Linked DNA regions of Nothobranchius furzeri. The protein of the gene in region 3 interacts with the protein of the main gene of each other region in a pairwise test. Links are inferred from orthologs where the notes say so. Each region holds a gene or a part of one and is shown on either strand. Other genes may lie near its edges. The genes, in order: mif, gfer and bnipl.

Region 1 (5,360 bases), on a different chromosome or scaffold from region 3:
AACATAAAAAAAAGTCTGCTAAACAATTTGCACCTGCAATTTATTGGCATCCCATACGGTGATGCCTGTTGTTGCGTACTGGCCCACTTGCAGACGTCTGAATAAATATCAGGAAAAAGTTTGTCAGATTTAAAGGTCTGAGATAAAAGTTGTTTGACAGAGTTCCACACTTTGTAAATGAGGGAATTAAAACTCATAGATCTTTGTTCCAGGCTTCACTAAAAAAAGTCATCACCTCAGTCTGAAAGATTGTGTTGCAGAGACAATGAAGAAAATCATTTCAAGTGAATTTAGTTATTAAAATCACTCCTAACTCAAAGTCACCAGCTGTGTGACTCACCCCCTGCCTGCAAAACCAACAGTTAAAACTCAGATGCCAGCTGGGATGGAGGAGGATATGAGGAAAATGAGAACAGAAGGAAAATTCATAAAAAACAAATAACTAAAATATGACTTTCTGGATGTGGTCAATATGAAAAACTGGAATTTTGAGTCGTAGTTTGATCTGCAGCCAAAGTATTTAATAATTTTTAGTGACATTCTCCATCTTTCACTTGTACTGTTTTTATTAAATAACTCAGAATGAGTCATCCCCTACCAGATTCTTACTCCACTCCCACTTCCTGTTTGAAAAATGCAACAAATGCTGTAGCCTAGCAGACCGAGAGGGCGGAGCCGCTAACAAATACACACACAGGCTCACAACTACATTGTGATAATGCTGCACTATAGAAAATGGGTTGAAATATAACATGTTGGTGGAGCTGGGTTCCGACTATCGGCTTGTGGAGCTCTAGGGAGACCGATGTTTTCCACCCGTTTTTCCCCTCCCCGCAGCTCTGCGCATCTCTGTCTAATCGCGGCTTCTGTCTGCTGCGTGGGCTGCTGGCTTCCAGCAGCTTTCGGGAGACCTCTGTGTTCCACCCGGTTTTACCCAGCGGTCAGCCCGGCGTATCTCTGACTCAGAAGCTCTGGTGTTGTGCACAATTAACTCCGGTTGTAGCTAGGTTGCTACCTCCGTTAGCTTAGCTCCCACCTCTGCGTTAGCTTTGGGTTAGCTTGTAGCTAGTTCGACCGGGTGTCGTCAGTTGATCCCAGCCTTACAGCCACACCCTCAGCTCCACCTCTCTTCCCTTTTGTAGAATTGTCTGGGCTTGAAGGAACCTGTGACACGGTCAAAATGGCGGTGGTGGCCACCTCCCATTTTTGCACAAAAACGTGTTATTGGAGCCTATGGAAATGAATTGTCCAGTATATATGTAGATGGTCAGAACATATTTGCTTTTGTAAATGTGTAAAGAAGGGATTTACCAATCTGGTGCCCACAGGCCTTTTCTCCAAACCTGCTGCCATCTTTTAAAATCGCAAATGCATTATTATAGATTTAAAACCTACATGTTTCTTTACAAATATTTAAATATGTTTATAGTAAATACATTTTAGTTTAACTCTGATCTATTCTAGTTCAAAGGTTATATATTTGTATATTATTATGTACTTTTTTAATCAATACAAAGAAAAAGGTACTTCAAAAACAAAAAAACCGACAAAAAAGTTAAAAACAAACTTTGATAAATTGCAATTAAAAAAGTTCTTAACAACAAAAGTGCAAACTTCCCTTAAAATGTTTATGTTTCTATTAAAGACCAGCTTTCTGATCCAATCAATGATTTAGATTTGGATTTGGGTTAGGGTTAGGCTTAGGATTTCTTTTTAATCCAAAATTCACAAATTTTCACTATTGTATCAAACTTGGTTAACGCTCAGTCACAACCCTGAAAGTAGCTCTCAGCTTCAGGTTGGTGACCTAATGTGGCCTAAAAATTTGTTGCCATGTGTCCTCCAGGATGAGAGGTGGCGCTGTGGTCAATTAGTTTTTCATTTTTAAGGAGGAGGAAGAGGTCATTCTCGTGGCTTCTTTACGATCTGGAAAGAGACGAAGAACGTCTGCAGCTTGAGCTGGAGAGAAGAAATAAAAAGCAATCATGCCGATGTTTGTGGTGAACACCAACGTGGCTAAAAGCAACGTGCCTGCGGCTCTGCTGTCCGAGGCTACGGAGGAGTTAGCTAAAGCGATGGGTAAACCTGCTCAGGTAGGTCAGGAAGATGTTCCTTCAGACCATTATAACCCTGCAGATCATTTACCATGATGCATTTGATTATATATGGAACGATATATATACTAAATCACATCAGTACCATACTAAATAATATCCATTATGAAAGAATGTTTGTCAAAATGCTAATATAACATTAGAGATTACCTGCAGGGACGGAAGCGGCTCATCAGTTTGGATCAGTTTGCATAGTTGAAAATAATTACATGAATTAATCTGGATTATATATCACTGGTCCAAATTTCCCAGATGCAAGATGGATAAAGTGAATTACAAAGAATAAATAAAATTACTTCAGAGTGGGATGAGCATTAAAAAAACACCTAAACTCAAAAGGATAAAGAACATAATAACATAAAATAGTTTTAAAGTAAACGAAAATAAACACTAATAGAAAAGAAAATCCCTCCTTTTTTTGAGGCAATGTTTTTGCCACATCCACAACAGGAGAAAAATAAAGACTAAGATTAAAATAAACACCAAAACAACTCAACACAGAAATACTTAAAGGTTCAAAAATCTAAATATTAATTATAAAGAAATCTTAAGAAAAAAAATAAAATTCTGAGGGAAACGATAGCAAAGTACAGTATAACATTTTTAAAGCAAGATTTTGAATGACAGACTTCAACAAAGCTAAATCTACAGAAAAGTGAATGTTACAAATAGCGCTGTTGTAAATCTTTCAATATAAAAGACTAAATTCCATCAATATGGAAAAAAATTGTACAGACAAATATTTTTGGAGACTTATTAGTAAAGGTACAATGGAAAAATATTTGTCTTTGCTTCAAGAACTGTTGACTTGTTCACTCACTTAGGTTTGACACTTAATATTGCTTTTTTCCCTTCATCTTTCTTCAGTACATTGCTGTGAATATTAACCCTGACCAAATGATGATGTTTGGTGGAAAGGGAGACCCCTGCGCTCTGTGCTCCCTCCACAGCATCGGCAAGATCAGTGGCGCCCAGAACAAGCAGTACTCAAAACTACTGTGTGGGTTGCTCAACAAACACCTGGGAGTCTCCGCTGACAGGTAACAGTAGCCCATCAGCATGCTGATCCTCTTTGTAGGACTTGATCAAACACACAACCTCTATTCATTGCTCATTAACCTCTTTCTTCTGGTGTCTGTTTTAGAATTTATATCAATTTTGTGGACATGGATGCAGCCAATGTGGCCTGGAACAACACCACTTTTGGCTAGGATGGAGGTCAAGACTGAAATAAAAGATCATTCCAGTGTTTTCCTACTTGTATTAGGGTAAATAAAGCAAAGAGCTGAGACACTTTGTTATCCAGGTAATACTGTAGGGGTACCTTAAATGCACTTGATTGGACCCCCTTGCTATGTACTGACCCTTTTGCAATTAAACGAATAAAGAAAATCACGTGAAACAATTAATGAATATCTTCTGTTTGGGTCAGTAAGCCCTCCTATTCAGAAACTTTATCATATTTAAAGGACCTGCATGCAGCTATTTCACACCTTACAGAGCAATAGTAGGCACACTATATGATAAATATTACCATTGGCATTATTGAGATGTCATTTTTGTGAAATGGAAGTTATTTTCACAACCCACTCTTTCAAACATTCAACAATGGATTTTGCATGATATAGGACCTTTAAAAGGGACTTTACGGAGTTTTGAATGTTTATGCTCGCGATTGCCCCCTCAGGCCAAAAGCGTGACGGCAGCTTCAATAGTAGGCTCATGCACGAGGTGCGCATGCTGTACGTGCACACTCCTTAACGAAAATAACAGCTGAGACAGTCCCGTGTGTGTGTGTGTGTGGCCCGGATGACAGAGGACAGGAGAACGCGTAGCCAATTAATTAAATAATTTGGTTCTGTACCTTTCTCTTCAGCACAGCCGACAAAGGTTTAAGATGGGTCAGTCCTCCTGCATGCTCAGATCATGCCCTTCCCTTGAAAAATTGTTCCAAAATGAAAGTTGAACCCACATCTGTTTTATCTGTGAATTCAATGCCGTTCGGCGAGTCTCAAATAAAAATTTGGGCATCTTACTGTAAAAAATATACCATTAATGTAAAAAATAAACTCTAAATAATCTATGTTCACATCCAGAATCAAACCCGGGTCTTCCGCACGAGAGTCCGCTGTCTTACTAGGTGCGCTATAGCACCAATGACATCTTTTGTATCTGTAATATTTATATCCTTGCTGACAGCTGAAACAACGTTCAAAGAATGGTTCAGAGCGAAAATGGCTATTTTGTTGCTAATTTGCAGGAAATATCTAGAAGAAAGTAGCTAAGGGTCCTCAGAAATGTAGCTAGGTTCATCACTAGGCGTGAGGAACAGCGACAAAGTCGCTGAGTTGGCACTGCCTCTCTCTCTGCTGCTAAAGCTACGGACAGCAAACGCTACGGGCGATGCCTGAGCGTGAACGCGCATGAAGCAGCCTGCTCGACCCGAGCATCTCTCTTTTTCTGTGATTTTACAGAAAAACAGGCAATCACAGTAAAAATGCCAGGGCTCATTCTACAGGACCAGGGCATTGCAGGAGAATGTATGAAGAAGAAATTTATTATTTCTATACATTATTTGGCTGTCAAACTTCCATAATGCCCCTTTAAAGAATTGCTTGCATAAATAATAAAGTCTTATTTTATAAAAAACAAATAAATAAATCAGAAGACTGTTATTTCTCTTCAAATAACAAATGTTTGTCAGGTAGTGGTTGGGCATTTTAGAAAACTACTTCAAAGTACTGTTTTCTCGGCATGGTAGAACTGCCCTGGAACCAAATTGTTTCATACATTTAAAGGCATGGTCCGTAAGATGACACCGTCAGGGTGAGGAGGAGGAGATTTTTAAATTCAAACGGCTGTTGCTCACTCCCCCGCCCTTCCTGAAAGAGCCGAAAGCCACACCTCCCAATGTGCACGCGCAGGAAAAGCAGAGTCAACACCAGAGCAGCATTGCTTCTTCATAATAGAGCTGAGCTAGTGTTAGCAATGGAGTTATCTAAGGTAAGAAAGTTGTTTTTAACCAGCACATTAAACACTTACTGTTTACAAAAGGCATTTTATAAAGAATATCTATAAATATATTTATATTTTAAAATACCAGTAACAGTTGACAATCTATATTGTAAATAAAATGAATCCTATCAAATTGTTAGCATTTTATTACGAGTAATTAGCTTATTTTTAATTGCCTTGCCATTCAAGATGGGACGAATATATCAAAGCATGTAAATAATTTATGTGGAA
Region 2 (4,806 bases), on a different chromosome or scaffold from region 3:
TATGTAATAAGATAAAAACACTGTTTACTATCCAGTAACTAGGTGTGTGTATTGGCAAGAATCAGGCAACACGATGATAAATATCACAATACAGGGGAGAAGACACAAGATCTTGCTAAACTAAAAGCTAGATGATTAACTGTAAACCTCAGGCCAGAGGCTTCCAAGACTCATGCAGTGGGCGTCATTTGGAATCCTAAGATGTCCAAGGAAGGTACCGTCTTTCTCACCTACGATTGGCTATTTCATGTAAGAGGAAACTGCAGGTTTTTATATTTACAGACAGACCTTGAGGAATTTTTATTCTTTTTTTTAAAGAAAATGGAACTCATTGCTATAATAAACATCCTTTCCTGTTTAGCAACAAACCAGTTTCAGTTTCTTTCATAAAGAATCTGAAAAACATCAAATGTGAACTTGTAATCAATGTTGTTGTATTTTATCAATACTGACTTCTGTTGGAGTTTTCTCTCATTACTTAATTATTAGGCTATCCTACTTTATTAGGTTACGGCTGTTTACACATTAGAGCACATCTCTCATCAGATTAAATGTGTGTCATTTAATCAAAAATTAAATTAAAGCTGATTATGATTTAGACCTCTTTTTCACCAGTTTTTATTAAGAAACAGACCTGATGCACACAGCTGGGCAGAATAGAGCAGTTTTATCAAATTTCATACCCAGGTAAGGCACATATGTTTATCCTATGTACTCTAATGCTTGAGAGCCAAGAGACATAAAGGAAGTCCAACAGTTTGATAAATGCAACTAGATTATAAATTCACATTTTACGTTTTTCATTCAATGTGAAATATTTTGCAAAACAGGACAGAATGGTTATTATAGCGCTAAGCTCACATTTTCTTTACTAAACCCCCAAAACAGCTTTCTGCTGGTGGCATAATAGTAAAAATAATAATAATAATAATCTGGTTTGCTGCTAAACGAAATAGCCAATCATAGTTCGTAGAGCCTTTCTAGCCAATCAGAGGCGAAAAAGGTGGGATCTTCCTTGGACATCCTAGGATTCCAAATGACGCATCCAGTGGTATTGCGAGGATTCGTTTTTCTGTCAGAGTGAAGGCAACAACAACTGCTGCCACCTAGCAGATGGAGTTTGAATTGCACCACACAAAAGAATTAGTGAAAGTTTGCATGAAAATTGTCAATAAAAGAACTGAAACACTGCTTTCAAATATCGATTCAGTATCATAACAAAACATCGCGATTTCTCTGGGTATCGGTGTTTTCTTACATCTCTACAGTGGACTATAGTAAACACTCAAAACCCATGAGATAAAATATTGTTTAAAAACACATTTGTGGCTTACGTTTTACGTTGACATAAAAATGAAAACAAACAACCCTTTAAAATAATTACAGTGTGTTTACACCTTAATAAAAAATTAAACTTAGCTTGATTACATGTCTGTAAATAAAGGCTACCCAACCAAGACAAAACTATTATTACTTTGCAGGAATAAAGTCAGATTAGCTCTGTCCTTATTTGGACATAATAATTTAACACCAACACCTGACACACACACACCGCCACTTATTTGCCATTGTGACCCCACAAACGTAGTAAAACAAGTCCAAAACACACCAACTTTGCCTGTTCTGTAGCTACCAGTTAGCTTCGCGGCTACACTGTTACCTTTATTCTTCTGTGTCCGAGAAATCTCTCTTTCGATTTCGGCGATTTTCTCCAGAATGCCCATGTTGGTGGTGCAGGTGAGATGCAGCTACTCTGTCGGGGAGACAAAATCCAACAGAAACGTGTCACCTCACTGCTGCTAGCTTTGTTAGCCGCCCGGCTAGCCTGCAAACAAGTCAAACTTAACGGTTAACAAACCGCATCAATAGTCGTCCACGAAAAGGCTTACATAATGAAATTTACGTCAGAATAAACCCTGAACATTGTCAATTATTTTATTCGTTAAATAGATAAAGAAATTTACTTTGACAGAAGGTTCAATCAGCCGCGCACGCAGACTGCAAACCGGAACACGGTTCGTCGCTATAAAACGTTCGGGTGAAACAAGGAAACGCAAGAATAACCAAACGGACCCTCTAACGAATTACACTGTGGAGTTATGACTAAATACACGTGATTTAGTTAACAGTATAACCCAGTTATGCTTCCAGTCGTAGCTAGTTTCATTCCAGTTTACAGACATTTTTAATATTTACTAATACTCGAGGTCAATTAGATAAATATTAACTCAGCAGGAGAGAAACATGGCTGCGCCTGCTGGTGCCGCTGAATCGTCAGGCGCCAGCCCGCCGGGGTTCGAAGGTTTCCCCTTCCCGGTGAGCAGCAGACCACAGGAGGACAGCTCCGGTAAAGGGCATGAACAATCCGGGGATGCAAGGAAGAAGCCATGTAGAGCCTGTACGGATTTTAAATCGTGGGTGAAGCTACAGAAACGGCAGGATGCTGATGCTGCTCAGGTGACATGACGTTTTAAGTTAATTAAAAAGGGTTTTAATCTGTTTGAAGGGCTTTAACGTGTTTCTCTGTCCCATATGTTTATTTGTTACCAATTTAGTGTTAGTAAACTGTTATTTATAGTGTAAATCTCACCCGATCCTATTATTTTATGACCTTTGTCTCTTTTGTGTGTTGAAATCTGAACCCACAGGAAACTCGTCCTGCAGAAAATGTGAGACCAGATCCCCAGTGTCCACTGGAGAGGGATGAGTTGGGCAGATGCACCTGGTCCTTTCTGCACACCATGGCCGCGTATTACCCAGACCGTCCGTCTTCCAGCCAGCAGCAGGACATGGGGCAGTTCATCAACCTGTTCTCCAGGTTCTTCCCTTGTGAAGAATGTGCAGAAGATCTCAGAGACCGGTCCGTCCATTTTACCCAGGTTTCAGATCCAATAAGTTACTCTTCTGTACAAATGCTGGAGGCCAACTATGTCCATGTGCTTCCCGCAGATTAAAAACCAAACAGCCGGACACGAGCAGCCGCTACGCTCTGTCTCAGTGGTTCTGCCATCTTCACAACGACATCAACGTCCGGCTGGGAAAACCCGAGTTTGATTGTTCACGTGTGGATGAGAGGTGGAGAGATGGATGGAAAGATGGAACCTGTGACTAAGTGTTTGTATTAAAAGTTATGTCACTAAGAGTTTATTTAATAAGTATGATCGCAAAATAAAAAGGAATTAAATGAATAATGTTTTGTCATTTTTTGGTTAAAATAGGGTCAGAGCTGGCCCAAGGCATACCTGAGTTAAGCAAATGTTTGGGATCCCCATGAGCATCAAGATAGTGGGAAAAATGTTTTAATAGCTTTAAGTTATATAAACACAATTATATCCCATGTGGAAAATGTATTATTTTCTATAATGTAATTTGGTTTTAGCTTTAAGTGATTTCGCATTTCATACATCTGCTCCAAATTTTAATGCCAAAATACTTGAATTGTTGAAGCTCACACTACTAAAAGTAAAGCAGAATTTTTTTTCTAGAAGTGTATTTTTTTATCGTCACAAAACCAAAACAGTGATTCCATCACTACCAAACAACTAGTGATACCACCTTAACTGGCATTTAACCACTTAATCAGTGTGCCATGTTGTTTCCTCACATCCTTAACTAGTTTTATTCTTTCTATGTGTTTTATATATAATTCAAACAAATATATTATTATGTAGTCGTACAATTATTGATATAATGTATATGACTGATATTTTATAATGGTAATACTTATTGTTACAAATATTATTTTATAAGTCCTTTTCAAACTTTCGTCTTTTTCTTTTCTAATAATTTTCTGCAAAAGTGCACCGTAATGTGACGCACATAAAATGTGCTTTCTCTTGTCTCATTTAACGACGAGAAACCTTTATATATATTTTTTTCATTTAAGTTTATAAAAGGAAAGAAAATGTTGCTAAAGGAAAAGCTACATTGGTTTATTCTGAAGTGGATGTGAATTTAGAATTTGCCACCAGGGGGCAGTGATGTGTTCCAGTGGAGAGTCTTCTTTTTCAAAAAGAACACATCAGAAAATAGCCAAAATTTCACAATATTGGAAAATTGGCACAAACTCTTTGCAGGTGTTTTGGATTAATTAGCTGAGAGAGTATCCAATTGGCTAGCACCATCTTTGTTTTGGGGGTAGACAAGGCAAAGTAGTTTAATTTATGCGGCACGTTTCTTTATGCATAAGAAGATTTGAAAAAGTACTAAGTTAAACGCTGAGTAGTTACAGCACAGACAGTCGGTTGATGAAAAATTTCGTCTTCGGTTTTGATTTAAAACAGGTCTCTTTCTATCAGTTTCAAGCACAGTCAGTAGAAAATATTTTCATTTTATTTAATGTACTTGGCTTAAATAAATACTTCCCATACCGCACTCACGTTTTGCGCTAAAATGTTCGCACTGCGTGTCCTACCCTTGCTCGTGCGCTCGCCACCGGGAGCGCGCAGGACCCGTCCCTACAGCAGCGCATCCATCCTGCCGCGGGGTCCGGGAGCGTGGAGGAGCGCACACTCACTCACACACAGAGGGAGAGACACTGAAAGATGGACGGAGTGGGATCGTTCGGAGCGGGCCGATCCGGGTCCACTATCGACCCGATTACATTCGCCAAACAGCCGCAGACCATCCTGAGAGCGCTGTCCTGGGTGAGTTGCGTTTTTATCTGGCTGTGTGGGTTCGCGCGCGCTAAGGATGTGACCTGCTCTCCGTCCGTGTAAATACAAACGCTGATAAGCGGGGTGTCAACACCTAAAATGTGGGCTGGGTTTTGTGTATTTAGAAGGAAACATGCCCGGGGTGTCACCA
Region 3 (5,556 bases):
TCCAGATCTGGTAGTGGGCTCCCCACGATCCACTGAGCAGTTTTCACCACACTGGCCAGGTCTTTTTTTGTTCTGTATGGTACAGCTCCCATACCACACTGTCACTCTGAGTGATAGGATGCTCTCAATGATGGCCCTGTAGAAGTTCTTTAGCAGTTGGGGGGAGAGACTGACTCCCTTCAGTTTCCTAAGGAAGAAGAGTCTTTGTTGGGCCTTCTTTACCAGTAAGGAAGTGTTCAGTGACCAGGTTAGATCTGAGGTGATGTGGATGCCCAGGATCCACATCACCTAGCCACAACATTTTCCAAGATCTTGGAGATGAACGGAAGTTTAGAGATGGGTCTGAAGCTGCTATGGAGAGGGGTCAAGACTCGTTTTTTTAAGAAGAGGGTGGATTACAGCATTCTTAAAGTAAGCAGTGGATCGGCGCACCTGTCAGGCTTCCTTAAAATGGCTCCTTTCAACAAGAATTAGCCAACAGGCAGGCTGATATTTGTTTGATACAATGAAAATTTATTTGGGATAATTTAAATGTTTCCATTAAACGTTCCCCTTAGATCTGGATCATTGCAGCAACCCCTAAACTTCATGCAGCTGTTTTGGATGCATCAAAGATTATTGCCTTTTTCCTCTTTGCCTCCATCAGACCATTTTGTTTTGTGATTGTTTTTTTATATGAGCGGTGATCGTTCCGTGGCTCAGCAGCTCACTAGTGGAAAGGCAATAAAATGCTTTTCTCTGCCTACATCACCTGCACAAGCACCTCTATTTCAGTTTCAGTTGCCATGGTTACCTCTGAAAGGCCATCTATCCGCCATCTTATATATAGTTGGATGCAAAAGTTTGGGCAGCCTTGTTAATATTCGTGATTTTCCTGTATAAATCGTTGGTTGTTACGATAACAGCTTCCAGTTGCATATATCATGTTGGAAATACACTCAATGATATTTGAGAAGTGAAACGAAGTTTATAGGAGTCACAGAAAGTAAGAGATTTCAGCTTCTGTTTCCACAGTTAGGAACATATTGAGGAAACGGAAGATCACAGACACAGTTCAAGTTAACCCTTACCTCACATTAGAGCATTTTTTTGTGCTCGAATGGCTTTAACGTTAGAAAATTTAAACGTTGGGTAAGGGTTAAGGCTCAAAGTGGCAGAATAAGAAAAATCTCAGATAAACAGAAGTGAAGAATGACGTGAACAGTAAGAGTTGACTGCACCAGCACCAGCACCAAAGACCTGCTACATCATCTTGCTGCAGATGGAGTCACTGTGCTTCATTGAACTATTTGGTGCACTTTACACAAGGAGATGCTGCACGTGAGAGTGATGCAGGGGAAGCCTTTTCTCCACCCACAGCACAAACAGCAGCTTCAGGTAAAGCACATCTGAACAAGCCAGCTTCATTCTGGAATAAGGTGCTGTGGACTGATGAAACTAACATTGAGTTATTTGGACATAACAAGGGGTGTTATGCATGGAGGAAAAATTACACAGCATTCCAAGAAAATCACCTGCTACCTACAGTAAAACATGGTGGTGGTTCCATCATGCTGTGGGACTGTAACCAGTGCAGGGACTGGGAATCCTGTTAAAGTTGAGGAACTCATGGATTCCACTCAATATCAGCAGATTCTGGAGACCAATGTCCAGGAATCAGTGACAAAGCTGAAGCTGCACCGGGGCTGGATCTTTCAACAAGACAATGACCCTAAATGCTGCTCAACATCTACTAAAGCATTCATGCAGAAGAACAAGTAGAACATTCCAGAATGGCCATCTCCCCAGACCAGAATATTATTGAAAATCTGTGGTGTGAGTCACAAGCCATCACACCTGAATGAACTAGAGATGTTTTGTAAAAAATGGCCCAAAATACCTTCAACAAGAATCCAGACTCTCATTGGAAGCTATAGGAAGCATTTAGAGGCTGTTCTTTCTGCAAAAGGAAGATCTACTAAGTATCGAGATAAATTTTTTTTGGTGCCCAAATGTATGCACCTGCACACTTAGTTTCACCACTGAAATATCACTGAGTGTGTCTTCTATATGATATATTTAACAGTTTTTTTTATCAAACCAACCAACAATTAATATAGGAAAATCATTTAAATTAACAATGCTGCCCAAACTTTGCATCCCACTGTATATGCAGAGTGCTTTTCATTGACCATTTATGGCAGAAAGTAGGTGTCTTGGAGGTGAGATATAATCCAAAATCACCTGAGTACGTTTCTAGGAAGAGTGTGGTTTATAAAGCAGGAATTGTGTGTGGTTGTGCATAAGCAGTGTTTTATAGATCTGAAAAAGAGTTTGCACAGGTATTGTTTTGCTGAGCTTAAGTGGAATTTTAGTAAGGATTCTATGTAAAGTTTTGTAAACGAGGCCCTGGTTTCTACACATGGCTGACTTTATCCTGTCCTAATCAGTAGATAACTGGGCCTCCAGCCACTGATGAAAGAGACATTACAAAAACACCCTTTCTGGATGTGTGCCTCAGACATCACCTCTGAATTTCTTGTGAAAATAGCTGCAAGTATGGTGGGTGCAGCTGTATTATTGCAATGTTGCTATGTGTGTGTGTGTGTGTGTGTGTGTGTGTGTGTGTGAGTTCTTCAGACCTGATGAAGGGTTTGACCACTGTTATTATAGCTTTGATGTACCAAGCAGGATGAACCACTAGCAGTCCCTTCAGGTCCTTCTTCAACCTATACAGACAAGACACTGATGTCACTACTGTTGCCATGCATATGGGATGTAATCTCTGGCACTTTTCCCCTAGCTCCTACTCAGCACAGCTCGACTTAGCACTGCTCTACTTTACAAGTTTTGGGTCGTTTTCCATTACAACTGAAAATCAACTCTAGTAGGTTTTTTTGCCATAGAGTCCAAAAGGTAGTGTGAGGTTATTTGACCACAACACAAAACAATGCAAAAATGGAGGACGTGGTAGCGACTTCCTTCTGCTAAACCACAGATCTGTTACTAGTGGAAATGCCTTGGAACTTTGCAGAGCTGAGTCAAGCTGCACTGAGTAGGCACTAGTGGAAAAGGACCATAATAACATAGTAACAGTTTCTAAGCAGACAAGTTAAAGGATCCTGGGTCAGAACTCCACCCGACAGGGCTGCACTACTTAGAGAAATGTTCATACCTTCTGTCGATGGAGGTATAGCATTGATGAAGCCATTTGATGGCTGGCAGTTTGTTTCTGGGAGCCATGGCACACAGGTAAACCAGCACATAGTTCTCTGAAACCATTAAGTCCAATGTCCCAATAATGTACCTGTTAACAGAGGCAAACACGGTGGTACTTCTGAGTTCAGGCGTTTCACTAGATCTGTCATTTCATGCTCTTGTGTCATCCCTTTTCTTACTACAAATCCAAACCCACCTAAATAGGTTGTCCATGACATAGTCATAGTTCTCCACTGTGCTCTCTGGCAAGTAACAAGAAGTGAAAAGGATGATAGCGTTCATCCCGTCTCCATAATAGCCTAAGAAAAAAACAAGACATTTGACTTTGAACCTGTGCACAGTGCACACCTGAGTTTTAGGTATGTTCCAGATGTGTTCATGGTGTGCATGGCATCTCTAACCTCCATGTGATAACACCTGCAGGTATGGCTCCAGAACGCTCATGTTGACCCGGTATTCATACCCTGAGATGCAGAACTTCCTCCAACGGCGCCCTTTGCTGTCCACCTGGTCTAGCTCCATCAGACCCTCAGAGTGCTCCACTGGGCTACTGGCCACACCCACAGCCCCACCCTTCTCCATCTGGGGGAGGTCATCTGTAAGAAATAGATCATAGGTCAGCTAAAAACAGGAGGAGTTTTCCCAACTTAGCCTCCATGTTTTCTCACCTTCCCACTCGAGTTCATGCATGCTATCTGGTAGTGTTCCTGTTTCACTGCCCGATGGTGTCTCCAGAGCTTCCAGGTTTATGTCAAGTGATGGTGTGTCATCTGGTGTCCCTGACAATGCTGCTGCCGAGAAGCTGTCAGTCTTGTCATGTGAGTCAGTGTGACTCAGAGTGAGGTTAAGAGCTGGGGCCGCCAGACGCTTTTTAGCCCCCCTCTCACCTGTACACAAGGCCAGACTGGTAGACGGTGCTGAGGGAGAGTAGAGGTCAGAAGTCAATTTATGGAAAACATGACTCAAGCAGTGGCACCCCCAAGGGATGGCCAGTGGAGGCCATGGCCCCCTTAAAAATTTGTTGGCTACCACTCTAAAGTGAAAGGGGAGGGGCTACAGTCTGATAAGCTTTTGTCCACTTTCAATATCATTTTTTATAGCACTTCATTTAAACCAGGGTTGCTCCAAAAAGATTTGAAGTAACTTATAAGACTTCTACACACACTACAGGAACAGAAGGATCAAGATATTGATCTAACTGGAGTCAAATGCCAAAGAGCATAAATGGAGGAGATTTTTAGAAATGACCATGGTCCTGAGCTGATCTAATGTGAAGAGGCAGGTTGTTTCAGAGATTAATGGCAGCAACTGCAAAAGCACGGCCACCTCTGTTCAATAATCAGGAACAGTGAAGTGCATCTTCCTATTTGAGCTAGAAAGAGAGCAGAGAAGTAGAAGGTAATGGTCATAAGGTGGGGACAGACCGAGAAGCACCTTGAACTCAAGCAATAACCCCTTGAAGATAATTCTGTACTGGATAGGGAGCCAATAGAGTGAAGCCAGCACCAGTATTATGTGTTCATGCTTTTTTTTGTACCTGTAAGGAGATGAGTTACAGCATTTTGTATGACCTAATGTCCCTGGTGGAGGGAGGACTGACTTCAGTCTTTATATAAGGAATTGCAAATAGATGAGTTTTTCAAAATCATTGGGAAAGAAGCTGGTATTTGTCTGGGATGAAAGAAACTAACTAACTAACCAAACTGATTTGCTTGTCAAAATAAGGGAGGAGTCGAATGTGACTCCATGTTTTTCATAGAGAAACGACTGAATGGTGTTAAAGGGAGTACTTGCCCTAACCCTATCAACAAGATGACTTCTGTTGTATTTTTGTTAATATGTAGAAACACTAAGTGTATGAGCAAGTCACCGTAATAGAAAATACATCTGAACATCATCAGCGAAGCAGTGGAACTGCCTATTTTCTGAAGATAAATCCAAATGGCAACATGTATAATTGTCATGTTCTGCGGGTGGAGGTGGCAGACCATGTGTGGTGGTGGTTTCCAGGAGGCAGAAGATCAGGCAGACGGATGAAAAATAAAAAGATGTTTAATTGTAGACTGGGAGCAACAGGACGAACGAACATGCACAAACGACAATGAACCGACAAAGACAGCAACAAGGAGGGAGCTATAATTACACAAGGGAATCAGGAACTCATGGGCAGAGTAATCAGGGACAGGTGAGAACAATTAGGCTAATAAGGGCAGGAGAGACACAGTCAGGGAGGCCGGGTGGATCATGACAATAATGAGAACATGAGAGGGTCAAGAATTAAACCCTGAGGAACTTCACATATCAGAGGCGCTTGGTCTGAGGAACACTGATCTATCTGAACAGAGACGGTTCCTCTGT

Evidence for each region.
Region 1: the proteins of bnipl (region 3) and mif interact in a two-hybrid assay, tested with the Homo sapiens proteins (2 studies listed by BioGRID and IntAct). The link is inferred for Nothobranchius furzeri from reciprocal best matches to the Homo sapiens genes BNIPL and MIF.
Region 2: the proteins of bnipl (region 3) and gfer interact in a two-hybrid assay, tested with the Homo sapiens proteins (2 studies listed by BioGRID and IntAct). The link is inferred for Nothobranchius furzeri from reciprocal best matches to the Homo sapiens genes BNIPL and GFER.

The regions. Positions count from the first base shown.
Region 1 is NC_091741.1:91,260,808-91,266,167, reverse strand, and holds mif (macrophage migration inhibitory factor), read left to right. Parts: upstream 1-1,875; 5' UTR 1,876-1,985; coding exon 1,986-2,093; intron 2,094-2,981; coding exon 2,982-3,154; intron 3,155-3,258; coding exon 3,259-3,325; 3' UTR 3,326-3,523; downstream 3,524-5,360.
Region 2 is NC_091752.1:63,793,319-63,798,124, reverse strand, and holds gfer (FAD-linked sulfhydryl oxidase ALR), read left to right. Parts: upstream 1-2,101; 5' UTR 2,102-2,244; coding exon 2,245-2,457; intron 2,458-2,648; coding exon 2,649-2,860; intron 2,861-2,949; coding exon 2,950-3,112; 3' UTR 3,113-3,188; downstream 3,189-4,806. Other genes in the region: drg2 (developmentally-regulated GTP-binding protein 2), read right to left, coding at 1,661-1,724; syngr3a (synaptogyrin-3a), read left to right, coding at 4,545-4,646.
Region 3 is NC_091745.1:58,857,289-58,862,844, forward strand, and holds part of bnipl (bcl-2/adenovirus E1B 19 kDa-interacting protein 2-like protein), read right to left. Parts: intron 4,116-5,556; coding exon 3,867-4,115; intron 3,795-3,866; coding exon 3,600-3,794; intron 3,498-3,599; coding exon 3,395-3,497; intron 3,287-3,394; coding exon 3,155-3,286; intron 2,709-3,154; coding exon 2,622-2,708; intron 1-2,621. UniProt on the Homo sapiens protein: May be a bridge molecule between BCL2 and ARHGAP1/CDC42 in promoting cell death.